Linked DNA regions of Notamacropus eugenii. The protein of the gene in region 2 purifies or fractionates together with the protein of the main gene of each other region. This does not show direct contact. Links are inferred from orthologs where the notes say so. Each region holds a gene or a part of one and is shown on either strand. Other genes may lie near its edges.

Region 1 (7,998 bases), on a different chromosome or scaffold from region 2:
CTTAGTGAATGGATGGATTTATGCACAAAAGAGAATTTGTTCATAAGCAGTGATAGCTTCCAGAATGAGGTGACTGCTTATAGGTAAGCATTAGGAAACATTTTTATAACAGCTTTGTAAAATAGCTCAATTTGAAAGGAGTAAACCTCTGAAGGACCACACATAAGAGCGACTTCATAGAAAAAGGTCCACCTCAGCAAAGAATTGGAAATTGAGGAGATGCCCATCAATTTGTGAATGTCTCAATTAGTTGTGATATATGAATGTAAAGGAATATTATTGTACTATAAATAATGATAAGCAGGCTGATTTCAGAAAAACCTGGAAAGATTTATATAAACTAATGCTGAGTGAAGCGAGCAGAACCAGGAGAATGTTGTACATAGTAACAGCAATATTGTGTGAAGATCAACTAACTGTGAATAACTTAGTTTTTCTCAGCAATACAATGATACAACACAATTCCAAAAGACTCATGATAGAAAATGCCATCCACATCCAGAGAAAGAACTATGGAGTCTGAATGCAGATTGAAGCATATTATTTTAATGTCTTTTTCTTTCTTGTGGTTTTCCCCTTTTGTTCTGATTCTTCTTTTAGAACATGACTAATGTGGAAATATGTTTAATATGATTGCACAGGAATAACCTATATCAGATTGCTTGCTGTCTTGGGGAAAGGGGAATGGAGATAGAAAAAATTTAGAATTCAAAATCTTATAAAAGTTTACACTAAAAACTAAAAAAAAAGACAGAAAAAAGAAGAAAAAGGGCTACCTCTTATGCTAAAAGTTCAAGACCGGATAGAAAAGAAAATGTTCTGAAGGGAATAAAGTATGGTTAAGCATTGAAAAGCACAGATCTCAGAGGGAGGAGACTTGGAATATAGCCCTAATTCTGCCCTTAACTAGTTATCTAGATGTCCTGTAAGGGGTGGGAGCCTGAACTAAATGATTTTCCAAGTTCCTTCAAATTAGCCCTAAGCTCATTTGCCCTCACTACAAACCTAAGCTCCCACGGACACAAGTACCAAAGAGAAATTCACACAAACCAAGATCCTTGTCTCCATTTATTGCCAACCACCTTTTCCTTACCTCTTTGCTTCCTCTAGGTGACAAAGGTACTCATAAGCCACATTCTGATGTCTCCTCTCATCCATCTCCTCTGCAGTGAGCCTTTCATTATCCAAGACAGCTACAAAATAAGAGAAATTATATAAATATGGAAATCTGTAGCTTACATCTATAGAGATGTAAGAAAGCCAGATCAGTTGATCCTGACTCAGTTTGGTAACTTCCCACTCCCCTTGGCAACAAGTGTTGCCAGGTATAATATAATGACCTTATTCTTGCAAGGACTTTGGGCCCCACCTATATTATTTTTATCAAAACGTAGTAACATAAGCATATATCTGACTTTGCATCTTACTGTTGTTAATGAAACAAGCTAATCTATAAGAACCTTATTTCCAGTGCATAACTTGAAACTAAAACCCCTACATCATCAAAGGGCAGGGCCTCTTTCAGGAGGAAAAAAAAGGGAACTGGGCTGGGTCTCCCTTTTCCCTGGTAGAACAGATGTAACAATGTCCAAAACCCTAAGAAAGCAGAATTACTTGACAGATTGAATAAGGAAGCAAGTTCCTTCCCTTCCCCTTCATTACTTTCAAGATCCTGGTAAAAAGAAAACTATAGCCCTGAAAGGCTCAGGACACTTCAGAACAAAGCTTGGATCTATGAGAGCTTTGAGAAGGCAATCTCCCCACTTTGCAGAAAGGAGGGGAGGGAAACTATGGTGCAGAACACTGCATATAACATAAAACTCTTCATATATTGGCTGGTTTTGCTGAACTGATTTTTTTCCCCTGGCTTTGTTATTTTTTGATTGAAGTGATGGCCCTCAGAAGGAGAGAGGGGACATAAATCAATAACATTTTATCTTTCCTAAAGACCTAGAACACAGAATAGAGACAGCTCCTGTGATCTAGAGATCGTCTGCTCCAATTCTCTCATTTTAGAAAAAAAGGGAAACAGAGGCCTAAGTAAAACTGACTTGCCCAACTGGGGTTCCACAGTTAGCAGAAGTGGGTTAGAGCCCTGGGTCTCCTGATTCCAAGAGTGCCCCATTCCTTCACCACACCAAGATGCCCCGTCTCTAAACTCCACGCGGCCAGAGCTCTTTTCCACTCAACAAAACGTGCCTCCCATAAATTCTCAATTCTCCCTCATGTTTATTTGTATTTTTGGTGTTAGGGACTCCTACGTCGGTGTGGGGAGCCTGTGGACACCCTTCTTCAAATTGCTTTTAAATGTATAAAATACGTGAGATGACAAAGGAAATAAATGCACTGAAACATTTAGCAAGATGGTTTAAAAAAGGTAAGTTCACGGGCCCCCCAGTCCGGGACTGGCAGGGAGCGCTCTTCGGAGCCGCCCAGCGCGGGACACGGGGCTGCGCTGCCGAGCGGGCCTCCTCAGCCTCAGTTTCCTCCACCGGAGGATGGGTGTTTCCTCCGGGGGGTCCGAGGGGCTGGGGGCCATCCACACCCTCACCACCCCCGCCAACCCCCTCCCCGAGCCCGGCCAGCCCGGCTCCAGCTGACAGACAGAAGTGCCAGGACGGCCAGCTCCCGGCGTGATCGGGGAGGGGGCCGAGGCCGCGGCCCCAGAGCCCGGACAACGGGCGCGCCCTGCCCTTCCGGGTCGGCGCGGCGCGGCCCCAAGGGGAACCGGAGCCACCTCCGCCTTGGGCCGGCTGGGCCTCCCCGGGCTCGCCCTCCCGGCCCCGCCCGACCCCGGACTCACAGCCATAGTGCGGCCGGACCACCGCCAGTCCGTCAACTTCGTCCGCGGCGGACATGGCTGCAAGAGCGAGACGTGCGCGGCGAAGCCTCGGAGGGAAGAGGCAGGCGGCGTAGCGCTTCCCGGGCGCGGCAGGGGCAGCGACAGCGGCGGAGGCGCGCTGGGTGTGACCGTGCCCGCGCCCGCGCCCGCGGCCCCGCCCCGAACCCGCAGCCGTAGGGGGAGGGAGGGGGAGAAGGTGGAGGCCGACGGAGGAGGCGGGGCCCGAGAAGCCCCGCCCACACCTCCCTTCCCCCGCCCTCTATGGGCTGCGGCGCTGCTTACGGCGGATGAGCCATCCCAAACTTGCTCGGCTCTGTCCGCCCACTCTCCTGGCTTTGCTTTCTCCGCCTGACTTTATGATGCCTCGGGGGCGACCCGGCCTTCCGCAACCCGCGCCTGCGCCCCCTGGGGTTGGGGGTGGGGGCTCTGGGGAGCCCGTGGTTAAATTTAAAGTGCGAGCGTTTACCCCTCGGAAATTGGCGGGCGCGGCAAATCCACCGAGCGGGGCTCGAGGCTGATGATGGAGGAAATGTTACTAATGGTGGAGAGGGGTACCGGCGTTTATGAAGCGCTCCACAAATATTACCAAATTAATTACCACCTTGGAGCTTTACGTAATGCAGAAGAAACTTCAAAGCGCACCCTCCCTACTTTTTCCGGGGAGAGACAGTGGTTAAACACTTACCGGCCCCACCCCCAGCCCTCCCCGGGGCTCCCCTGGGTCGGGGCTTCGGGTAGGCCCCGAGCTCCCCAGGCCTGAGCTCTAAGCCGCATTCCAGCTGTGCGGAGAGGGAGGGGGGAGAGCCACACCTGCCTCCGCAGCGCCCCATGACGTCATCCGCCTCACCTATTCCCCCTCCCCCTCCTCAGCCTCCTCCTCCACGCGGTGCAGTGGAGCTTTCCAAGCCTTCGCTTATTAGAGCCTCACAACGCTGTTGTTATCATCCCCATTTTTACAGAGAAGGTCACCGGGCTAAGGGGGGTCAGAGGCAGGATCTGAACTTAGGTCTCCCTCCTGACTTCATGTCAGGGATCCAGCACTATTCACCGCCCCACTCCGCCGGGTTTCCTCCTCTTAAAATAAGATGGTTCTGGATAACTTTGTAAGTTTCCTTCTAGTTCTAGGTCAGTCATCAAATGGAATGATACAAAGTGTCCCAGAAGTTTTGACGTTTAAAACTGCACTGAAACTTTCGGGATACCCCATAGACATAAAGCACTTTGCTTTATAATGTTATGTATTGTATATGGTATTGTATATTATACATAATATATATTATATACACGATGTATATTGTATATTACAATATATATTACATATATATTGTAGAGGGCTTCAGAACCATATAAAAACTAGCTATTATTATTATTATTATTCAGTGATGAAACTCATTACTCTCTCTAAAGGAATCGGGATCATAGGACCTATACTATAATATTATATATGATCAGTTAGGTGGCCCAGTGTATGGAGTGCTGCGCCTGGAATCAGAAGACTCGTCTTCCTGAATTCAAATCTGGCCCCAGACACTTGGTGTGACCCTGGGCAAGTTACTTAAATCCATTTGCCTCAGTTTCCTTATCTGTAAAATGAGCTGGAGAAGGAAGTGACAAACCAGTATCTTTGCCAAGAAACCCCAAATGGAGTCATGACCACCAAAAAAAATAGCTGAACTAAAATTATATATTATCATACATATTTAACATTAACATATGATATTTTATAATAATTAATTTTTAGTGTCATAATGTATAAAATTAATTATTGGTCATAGGATAGCAAAAACTCTTAATCTGGTCCCCATTGGATAGATTTCAGGGAATCTATAAACTTGTATGGAAGAAAAATTACATCTTTATTTTCACTCATCACTAAAATGTAATATTTCCTTCAATTATCTAAAATTATTATTCTGAGAACAGGTCCATATAAGTTTTACTAGACTGTAAAGAGGTCTTTCACACACACACACACACACACACACACACACACACACACACACACACACAGGTTTAAAACCTTGCATTTTAGTATTCAGAGCAGGAAAGAACCTGACAATTCTTACAGATGGGTGGTACTTATTGTCCTGGGACATTCTGGACCCAGAAATGTTTCTTGCGAATATTTACATAGCAAAAACCAGCAACAGCTGCAAATCAAGGCCTGTTTTGTGAATTGTCTAGACTGAAGAAAATAATGAAAGAAATCTTCATGTCAATTAAATTTAAAAGTGTTCCCTGAATATCTTTTTTACTTTGAGGAGCCAGGTGATAAAACATTTCCTAGAACACCCCAGGGTGAGTGTGCTGATAAATGTTTAGTTTAGGTCCTTTTTAACATAAAAAAATAAACTGAATTGCGACCCCTCCCCCTCTTATAGTTGTAGAACTATTAGCATGAATTGATAGAGAAAATGCTTGACAAAAGTGATTATGTATCTGGTAACACTTTTGAATAAATTTATATTTTTAATCACAATATCATCTACATGCATTTGTAAAGTAAGACAGAATTTGTTCTGCTTGATTATGAATATTTATAACAAGGGCTATTATAAAAAACTTTTTCTCCATTTGGAAGACTGGGGGTGGAAAGGGAAAGATTCATAGAGACAGTGTAGGGAAAAGAAAAGAGGGTCATGGAGGCAACTTTTAAAAAAATGCAGAAAAGAAAAACTGAATGAAGACCAGAAAGAACCACAGAAAAGCTGGAAAAGCTAAAGGTTAAATATATTATATATTTTCAAAGAAGGGCAAGCCACACAATATAATGATCATCAGCTCCATGTACCATGTTCTTATTCTGTTCCATTGTGTATATGTGTATGGAAATGCTCATTTCACTTGGTATTCAGAATATTTTTAAAAACTAAAGCCAGGTAATACATATTTGTGAGAGCCGTGGCACAGACGTAACAGGCATATAACCAGACATATTTCCTCTGAGTATTCCACAGGGATAAGATGACAGCTAACATCCCATTTATATACAGGTTTGTGTGCTCATAAAATATTTCACAGATTGTCTTTGGCAGCCTCTAACTTGCCCAGGTAGTCACCACCTGAAATGACTATTGCACACATAATGAGTGCAAGGGGGAACTGAATTTAAAATTTGGAAAATTGAATTTGTTGTTGTTCAGTCATGTTTGATTCTTTGTGGCCCTATCTGAGGATTTCTTTTTCTTCTGAGGCAAAGAGGTTTAATAATTTTTTTCAACTATATATAAAGACAATTTTTAGCATTCTTTTTTTTCATTTTGAGTTCCAAATTTTCTCCCTCCTTCCCTCACCTCCCCCCTCCTTGAAACAGTAAACAATTTGATATGTTATACATATGTAGTCATGTAAAACATATTTCCATATTAGTCATGTTGCAAAAGAAAACGTACAAAAAGAAAAAAATATATGAAAAAATGAAGAAAGTGAAAAATACTATGCTTCAATCTGCATTCAGATTCCATCAGTTCTTTCTCTGGAGGCAGATAGCATTCTTTATCATGAGTTCTTTGAAATTGTCTGGGATCATTGTATTGCTGAGAATAGCTAAGTCATTTACAGCTGATCATCATACAATATTGCTGTTACTGTATACAGTGTTCTCCTGGTTCTGCTCACTTTGCATCAGTTTGTGTTAGTCTTTCTAGTCTTTTCTGAAATCATCCTGCTTATCATTTCTTATAGCATAATAGTATTCCATTATAATCATATGCCACAACTTGTTTATCAGTTCTACAACTGATGGACATCCCCTCAATTTCCGATTCTTTGCTACCACAAAAAGAGCTGCTATATTTTTGTACAAATAGGTCCTTCCGAGCATTCATTTGGACTAGGTTTAGTCCTTGGTTTAGTGGTTTCTTGGGCCAAATGCCTCTACCTCTCAGGCCCTGGAGCAGGTCACCCAGACTATGAGTTACAGAGAAGTTTCTGACGTGTTAATGGAGAGAATTCCTACATCTGGAGTTAATGAAATCTCAAGTCTAGATTTTTAGTCTAAAATTTTTTTTTTTTAAAGTGAGAATCCATGGAAAAATCTTCTGATCATCTGGCAAAAGGATCTGAGGAACTTGTAGCACCACGAGAACATAGAGCTGCCAACTCCACCCAGCTTCCGGAGCTACTTACAGACTTCCTTCAAGTCTACAAGTGCTCCCCAGAGCATTGTTAGTTCTACAGAAACTTGAAGATTTACAGTGGTGCACACAGAGTTCTGCCAGCTATGGTGGAAACAATTTGTTTCCTGACAGTAAAGCACAATAGAATCCATAAGGGGAAGGAGATCATGTGTACTGGTGAGGTAGAGCAATCACTGGGACCCTAGAAAAGAACCTTCCTGAGCAAAAAAGGTTTGTGCCAGGGTCTGATCAGAGATCAAAGAAAACACTGAACAGGGTCAAGCTATTTCCATTGGACAAAATCTTGTAAGCATCTACAATGAGAAAGACACTATGAGGATACAAGGAAAGACTACTGAGGATACAAAGTCAAATATGAAAGTCTCTATCTTCAAGAACTTTATGTGCTAAGAAATCTTAGGATTCTAAGAGACGGAAGTAAAGACAGAGTGCATTACAGAGGGGAAAGGCTGTGCAAAGGTGGAAGAGAAAACCTTGAGTTCAGAGTAGAGCAAATATGTTAGTTTAGCTAGAGCCTAGGGTCAAGACTGAGAAGAGAGGAAAGTGAGACCGACCACAGGTAGGGGTTGATGAAGTAGAAGAACAGGAAAGGATGGAAGGACTGGAAGTCATCGGTAAAGACAAAGAGCTTCAGGAGTGAGGCAAAGGTAGAAATGGAAGGACAGGAGACTGCAATCACCAAGTGTGGAGTACTGGTGAGATAACATATGTAAAGTAGCTTGCAAACCTTAAATCCTATGTAAATGTTAGCTATTCTAGTGAGGTAAAAAGTGTGAGTGGATTAGACAGAGTGGAGATAGAGGTCACTGAAGATGAAGAGGTTGATGAAGAGACATGTATGTCAAAGTTACAAAGGATAAGGACGAGTTAGGATAAAAGAAGACTAGGTACTTGAGCAAAGGGTGATAAGCTGGTAGATGATCACAATGAAGATTGAGCAGAGTGATAAGGATAGATGAAGGAAACCTCATAGGAAGAGAAATTGCTGAGTGAAGACATCAGAGGAATGAATGAATG
Region 2 (7,922 bases):
AGCAGTCACCTCCAGAACCTCAGCTTCCTCATCAGGAAAATGGGCCCAAGAATAGACCCTGGGGTGGAATGCTTCATGTCAGACATTCCTGAACAGCTCCAGGAATGCTCGCTCACCATTGCCACCCACATCCTCAATAGTCTGCCATGTTCCCCGGATGCCTGTGCAATCTATCCCAGTGGGTTTGGGAGGCTCAGAAGTGAGATAGACCCAGGGAGGTGACACTCACCCCTAGGAAGTGGGAGAGTTCACTGTTCATGAGTTCTTTCAGCTCTGACTTCTTCAGCTTGTGCTTGTCACCCTCTTTCGCAGAATACTGGTTGAATGTTTCGATGATGGTCATCATGGCCTTCTCCAGGTCCGACATGATGGCTATCAGATCCTCCTGCACACGCAGTGGAACAAGAAGACAGACTGTCTCTAAACATCCTGACAACAATGGATGGGCAGACATCCTTTCTGACCTGTTCCCCTCACACTTCTGATTGCTGGGAGTGATCATGACCATGATAATGATTATGGGATAACCCTCCTCCATGGGTGACCTCTTCAGTCCATCTCATGGGGTCAGAGAAGTACTGACCTAGAGGTCATCCAGGATAAACCAGCAAGAGATCACAGAGGCCTAGAACTCAGCTCCTTTGGCCCCAAATCTTTCCCTTAACTGCCCCCCCCCCCAAGAAGGTTACAAATAGGAGAAATGGGACTCAAACTCAGGTCCTCTAACTCCACCAGCATCCAGAGAATAACCAAACCTTAAGGAAAAAGGGAAAAATGGCCCAGGCCAAAAGGAAGGTCAGGAAATCCAAGTTCCTCCCTGGGTGTTGTGTAGCTGTTTCTCCTGGTTAATATTGTGTTTCCTTTACAACAACAATTAAATTATTCTTTTCAGGTTTAGAATTTTTGTGGAATGGAAAATTACTCAAAGTGTCCCCTTGGAAACAATGCCCTGGCACCATTCTAGGCTCTCTCCAGAGAGAGCCTAGCGAAGAGGCCCAGACAAGCCACTGCTGCCACCTGACTGGGCCCTGCCTGATCTTCTGAAAGCCCCAAACCCAGGTCCTGCCTGACCCCCTGACAGTGAGGTGCCCAGCCAGGCTGCTTTGACCTCCCGGTGCCTCATGAAAGGGCACAGATCACATTTCCTCCCTCTTTCTCTGACTACACCAGGAATCTTTTTTAGTGGGGAGGGAAAAGAGTGGTGGCAGAGTGCTGGGTGGAGAGCTCTATGAAGAGCAGAAGGACACCTTTCACCTAGGGGATGGGGGTGGAATCAGGGAGGGCTTCCTGGAGGAGGCAGCACCTGACTTAAAAGTGGAAAGTAAAACAGTGTCAGCTTTCCATTCCCTGAGACAAGCCAGAGGCTGGCCCACACACACAGCAAAGGGGAAGGTGCTGCCTCCACTTGGAGTTCAAAGACCAGCTCAAACCCCATTTAGTCATTTTCTCTCCTGGGCCTTGGTTTCTTCATCTGTAAAATGAAGGAGTTGGAATTGGTGGCCCCACATCCAGGACCCTAAGAATTAAATCAACCGTGAGAAGCAGAGAGTGCCTGCTCAAGTGGGTCCCTCATTGGGTCATTTACTCCTCAGAAGGAGCAAGGAGCCCTCGAGCTCCATTTAGGCACCCCTGGACATTGCTCTGTCCTGCTCCTGAGGCCTCTGGGTCACATGCCTCCAGGAGCTCACTCCCACCAAGGTTTAACTAGATCCCTCCAGCCATGTTGGAGTGGATAGCCTCCCCTGCCCCCATTGTGACAAACAACAAAAGAAGAAAGGAAACTGCAGCAAAATGAGCGGTCGACTGAGCCTGACCGGGGCTGAGAGAAATATTCCACACCCACAGTCCCCCACCTCTGCTATATCAGATTATCCCTTCAAGATTCATTTAAGTGGCTGCAAAAACTGTTCACTGTTAGATAACTGTTTGCAGCTTGTTGCCCTGGGGAATTTGGGGAAAAATCGTGATTGCTGGTCAGTGGATTGTGGGCACTCCCTCCTGAACAGCCTCTGTCTGTGGGAACGGAATGACAGGGCTGATTCGAGGACTTCAAAGCCAGGGACCTCCCCACTCCAGGCCAGGGAGGCTGGGCCCTGGACATCCCCCTCCAGGCAGCCCCTGGACATCCCACCTCCATGCCCTGCTTCAGCCCACTCCTACCCAACCCTGCCCTCCCCTGCCCAACTTTTCCACACTTCTCTATATCACATATTTCATACCGACTGAAGTCAGTCATCTCTTCACCAAGCATGAAAATCAGAACTTTTTAAAAATCTTCATTTTTTTTTTGGTCTCTCCTTTCTTCCTGGAAATGTTGGATACAATCTTTTCTTACCTCTCTTGAAGACAGAGCCTACTTTGACCTCTCAAATGAATGAGAAGGGAAGGCAATAGCAGAGCCCCCTCTGGGAAAGAAACTGGATTTTCCAAAGGGATGACAAGGCCATGGGGGAGAGCCCCACCCATCAGGGTCTGTTCTCCAAACCCAGCAGTGCCGCTCAATAAGTGCAAAGGCTTCTGGGCGGTGTCCAGGGACGATGTGCGCCTGGCGCCTAGCAGGACTCAGTAACCGCTTTGATTGATAATTAGTGTCATCCTAAATGCAGGACAACTGAGGCAGCAAGCAGTGATTCCCCACTGGCTTTATGGACGAGGCCAGGGACCAGAGAAAAGGGAATTAGATACTGTCCCTTGATCATGAGCCAAGACAGTCCAAAGGATGACGTTGGGGCCGTGGGGGGGAGGGGCGCCGGACTGGATGACCCCTACGGTCCCTCACATCCCAGATCCGGGAACCAAGAACTTCTCTGTGAGTCCCGGTTATTTCGAAACTCTCTTCTGGCTCTCAGATCTCAGGAGTGCTAAATTCCCTTCAGCCATAGGAGTGAAAATTGGGAGAAAAGGTCACGGAGCCGTTCAAAGGAAAGGCAGGGGCTTTGTCCCTGTGCCGGGATACAAAGGACAGTCAAGGACACCTCTGGGAAACCTGGGCGAACTCCCCACCCCGGCTTGCTCAGAGGCCCCTGACTCTGGGCACTCACCATGTCTCAGAGAGCTAAGTGCACCTGCCCCCTCAGCCAGAAAAGGAGCAGAACTGAACGAGATCGGTTGTCTCAAACTGAAACGGTCTCAAAACCCGCGAGTCCCCAGCAGGGCATCGAGGCAGCGGGGCGGGGGGAGGGGTGGAGGGGGCAGAGGGACAGCGGAGCAGCAGGACACCGGGGCAGGGGACAGGGGGGCAGCGGAGCAGGCGACAAGGGGGCAGCGGGGCAAGGGACGGGGGGCAGCGGAGCAGCAGGGCAGGCGACAAGGGGGCAGCGGGGTAAGGGACAGGGGGGCGGCGGAGCAGCGGGGCAGGGCAGCGGCAGGGCAGGGCAGTGGCGCGGCAGAGCTCCTACTTCTCCAAAAACCTCCCTCACTCACCTCCCTGCTGCTGCTTAGGAGTTTCTCTCGCTTGTTTCGTTGTGCCTGAGAAAGGCACCAGACACTGGCTTCTTATTCCTTTCCTAGGGGTGGAGAAGCTCTATTGACAGTAGTGCTGCCCGGCTGCAGACAGGCACGAACCAATGAGCGCTGCGGGAGGAGGCCGGGGTAGGAGGGAGCCAGCGGCTTCTTGGACCTCAGTGAGGGCAGCTAGTGGCCTGGCACACAAGAGAGCATTGACAAAGCAGGGAAACCACATGGGCCTGCTGTGGGGGCCATTAACTGATACACTGGTCTGAGAAGGAAAGAAAAGAGGGCCTGTTATCTAGAAATGTGGAGGTCAGCTTTTTGCAGCGTTGTTTATTTCTTATGAGAATTTCAAAACAGGCCTCCTGGGGTAGAAAGAGAGAAGAGAAGGGAGAAAACAAGGAGAAAGAGAAAGAAAAGTTATATAAAAAAGAGAGGAAGACAGAGAAAAAAGAAAGGGAAGGAAGGAGGGAGGGAAGAAGGGAGAGAGGGAAAGAAGAAAGGGGAGGGAGGTAAGAAAAGCAAGACAGACAGACACAGACAGACAGAATTGAAGGGAGAGACAGAGTCAGAAAGATAGAGATTGAAAGAAAGTGAGACAGCTACAAAGGGAGGTCCCAATCCCTGCTCAATCAGTGACTCTGAACAAGCAGAAGTGTTTCATCTGGTTTCCTATGAAAAAGGCTCAGTTACCCTCTTACCTGCTTCCCCTTACCTGACGCCCCTTGCCTGCTGGCACCCCCAAAGGGCTTTCCACAATGTATGTTTCTCTCTGGGCAACAGCCTTCAGCATGGACCCGTTGTCCATCGGAGTCCAGACCTGACTGCTGTTTAAGGCCAGTAGTAGCTATCACTCAATGTTTGGTAAATGAAAAAGTAAATTATTTATGAAGTATAAGGAATAAAACACTATATAGAATGCAGATAAAGTCATCCGACCACAAAGCAAATTAATGAGAAACCAGGAATGACCTCCACAAACCAAGAAAGCCCAGGAAGTGTTTTGCACCAGGAAAGCCCTGGGAGGCCATTCAAGGAGCATCGAGCTTGGAGTCTGAGGACCTGAGGACCTCAGCTCTTCCATGATTACCTGGGTGACCTTTGGCACAGTCTTCAACTTCTCTGGGTCTCAGTTTCTTCCTCTGGAAAATGAGAAAGTGACTTCCAGGTCCCTTCTGGCTCTAAGTCCATGATTCTAGGAAATCTTAACCAATCAGATGTCTCCCTGGCCAACTTCCTGAGGTTAGAGAATTATTTTAAATATTCCACCAATAAATAGGAGGTTTGGCTTCAGGGAAGAGCATGCCCTCAAAAGAGAAGAGTTTAGTTTAGCTGAGGTTTGTCAGCCAGAAGGTAGGTAATTGATAAAGACTGTCGGGAAGCATCCCCAGCCTGCTGTGCCCACACTCATGAAGGCAGCTCCAACAAGGCCCCAGAACCCTTCTCTGATTCTTAGCTTGTGCAGAGCCAGGAGATGAGTGCTAGAAGATGATGGGCATCCATACTCTACGTTGTCACCAATTGTCATGGCTGGAGCCTGCTGCTTCCATTTCTAATCTGACTACCAAACCATGAATCTGTTAGTAAGAGAGTTTGGCACTGGTTGCCTTCAGCCCACATTGTGGTCCCCTGCTTATCACTGCCTAACTCCAGAGTCATAATTAGAAATTTGAGTGACCAGGGAAAGCAGCACCTCCAACTCCACTTCATAATTCAGTTAGGTGGTAGCTGGACTCAAGTTAGACCTGAGCTCAAAAACAGCCTCAGATACATATACTAGTAAAATGGAAATCATAATAGCACCTCCCTCCCATGTTGTTATAAGGATTGAGATATTTCCAGGGTGTTTTGCAAATCCTAAAAGTGCTATATTAATGTTAGTTATTAATTTTAGAGGTAATTGAGGCAGATTCATTTAAATGAGAAGGGAGACATCAGTCCATTGCCCCTTGGGGAAGAGATTTTGGACACAAACCTTGTGGGGCCACTGCTGGGGCAGAGGAGAGGTGGAGAGTTGAACCAAGGTAGGGCATGGCCAAAGAGGTGCTCATAAGGCATGCAGCAATCTAAAAGCGTCTCAGTTTAATTCTTCTTGCATTTCATACTGTTTAAGGAATTTGGGTATTGTTACAACATAGAGGTAACCAATATAAAAATTGCTGAAACTTTTGAAATTATTCTCTTGCATTTTTTGCAACCCATTTAAAATGTTGGCCCTCTGAGATGATCATCTCACCCTAGTTAAGTTTTGGCTAGCTTTAGATTCTCAGGATTGATTCATCTCTCTCATTTGTGAGCACCAAGAACCTGTAACGAGTCCAATCCTGTACTAACTAGACTTTATGGGGGATGTGAAAGAAATGTGAGGCATGATTCCTACTCTAAGATCATACAAATTGGAGGTCCCTTTGCCAGTGAGGCCATCTGGGGCTCCATATGTCAGTGGTCCAAACATTCTGTTGGTGGAGAAAGCTCTGCAGAAAAGTCAACCATTGTTTAGAAGGGTGAAATTTCACATGATTCGGGCAGGAAGCATCTGAGCCCAATGCCTGCTATAAGGGACCAGGTTAAACACAACAGCCAAGAAACCACTGCTTCCATTCTCTTGTCTCTGAGGAGAAAGAGGCTTTGTTGCATTGCAAGCCATTAAGTTGTGGCCACACGCCTATCTCTGACTCACATCTTCCTTTAGCTCCAAAGCCTTTTGACTGGTCCTGGCCTGAAGAGACCAGTGTGATTGCTGCTGACCAGAAATATTCCCAGAGATGGGACATCCCAGAAATTTGGGTTTGGTTTCCATAATGACTTTACAATTCAATGTATCTTAGGAGAAAACACTCATCAAATGAGTGCCGCCGGTAAGGATGGCTTTCCAAGTGACAGGTTCTAATGAGGAGAAAACTCTCCATAGAATAAGACCTCAGAAAGGGCAGGACTGGGAGCCAGAGATCCCACCAGGATGACATCATGCTGCATCTAACCTTACTGGGCAAAGACCTCCCCACTCCAGAAGACTCTGGAAGAACCACAGAAGGTGGGAAGGGTACCTTCAGTAGCTTGAATGGAGTGGAATCTGGCACCTGCCTCTCCAGCATCATTCCACACTACTCCACTTCCCATGCTCAGTGCTCCAGTCATGATATCTTTCTGGTCATCATTCCATCTGGTCATCCCCCTCTCGACTCCACTTGCTAGAACCCTTAACATCCCATGGTATGCCCTCAAGCTCCACTTTCCTGGTACTCCCAACTACCCTGATCAGCTGGTACTGAGTAGCATGAAGTTTGTCTGCTTTTCTGTTCTCTTAATGCTTATTCTGCATATATGTAAACATTCTAATGCTCTGGGTTTACACAACTTGTAAGAATTGTTTAGTGTGTTTGCATCCCTGGGTCCTAGCATAGCCCCTGTCACACAGTACTTAATAAATGCATGCTGATTGTGTCACCTGACTTTCACCAGGATGCTACTCATGAAAGCTGCCACTCAGATCTCAAAAGTGAAGAGATCAGACCCCAGGCATGGGCCCCAGTGGCACTCCTTCCCTCTTAAGCTGTGAGTTTACTAGTCTAATGAGAGGTCACACCCAATCCCCAAAAGAGCAGGGACAAGAAATCTTCTGTGATCCCAAGTTTATTCTCTGGGCACATCTTAAGCAGCCCAGTCTAACCTCTTCTACCAACTACTGCCCTTTCCTCTTTTCTTTTGCAGAGAAAGTCTGCCTTTTGCCATATGAGGGCATTGTACCAAGAACATTGAGCTCATGTCTCCCCAGGATATCCAGGACAACCTACCTTTAAGGGCAGTAAAAATCTTTTGCTTCTGTCCCACACCCCCATCCTCAATAAAAAGACAGTCATTTAAAAGAGTTGAGCTCAGCCATTCACTTAAGAAATCCCAAATGGCTGAAAATGCCCATTGTCAGTCATGCCATCCATAAGGTTGTGAGGCCAGGAGCTAATCTGTCAATAACCATGGTCATGTTCAGTGCTGGAGGGATGCTTGAGGCTGTTTGCAAGGTCAAAAATATTGTAATAGTGCAGAGACAGCTAAGTGGCCTGATCGTCCCTATCACAGCTTCAATAAGAACAAGCTTTTCTACAGACCTTTAGGGTTTATGAAGCGCTATCAAGATGCTGTCTCACTGAATTCCCACAACAACCTTAGGAGGTAGGGGCTGTCATTAGCTTCATTTCACAGATGAAGAAACTAAGGCTGAAAGAAGTTGACTTGGGACAGAATTGAACTGAGGGCTTTCTGCCTCCAACAGTCCACTGCTCTGTCCACTACACCTTAGCTAGCCTGAGAGCTGGTTCTGAAGTTGAGAAAACCTGAGCCCTAACCCTGACTCTGACCCTTCCTGGCTGTGTGATGGTGGGTGAATCACTTAACCTCACTCATCTCAGCATCTCATCTGTAAAATGGGGGAAGAGTAGCACCTATCTCCTAGGTTGGTAAGGGGATCAAATGAG

What was found.
Region 1: the proteins of S100B (region 2) and IQGAP1 purify together in Homo sapiens (co-immunoprecipitation; 3 studies listed by BioGRID and IntAct, with this or other methods). This does not show direct contact. The link is inferred for Notamacropus eugenii from reciprocal best matches to the Homo sapiens genes S100B and IQGAP1.

Annotation. Positions count from the first base shown.
Region 1 is NC_092872.1:249,260,201-249,268,198, reverse strand, and holds the start of IQGAP1 (ras GTPase-activating-like protein IQGAP1), read right to left. Parts: upstream 3,098-7,998; 5' UTR 2,859-3,097; coding exon 2,804-2,858; intron 1,194-2,803; coding exon 1,094-1,193; intron 1-1,093. UniProt on the Homo sapiens protein: Plays a crucial role in regulating the dynamics and assembly of the actin cytoskeleton.
Region 2 is NC_092873.1:68,179,852-68,187,773, forward strand, and holds the start of S100B (protein S100-B), read right to left. Parts: upstream 3,137-7,922; 5' UTR 3,045-3,136; coding exon 3,042-3,044; intron 2,307-3,041; exon of another isoform or gene 2,220-2,306; intron 386-2,219; coding exon 230-385; intron 1-229. UniProt on the Homo sapiens protein: Small zinc- and- and calcium-binding protein that is highly expressed in astrocytes and constitutes one of the most abundant soluble proteins in brain.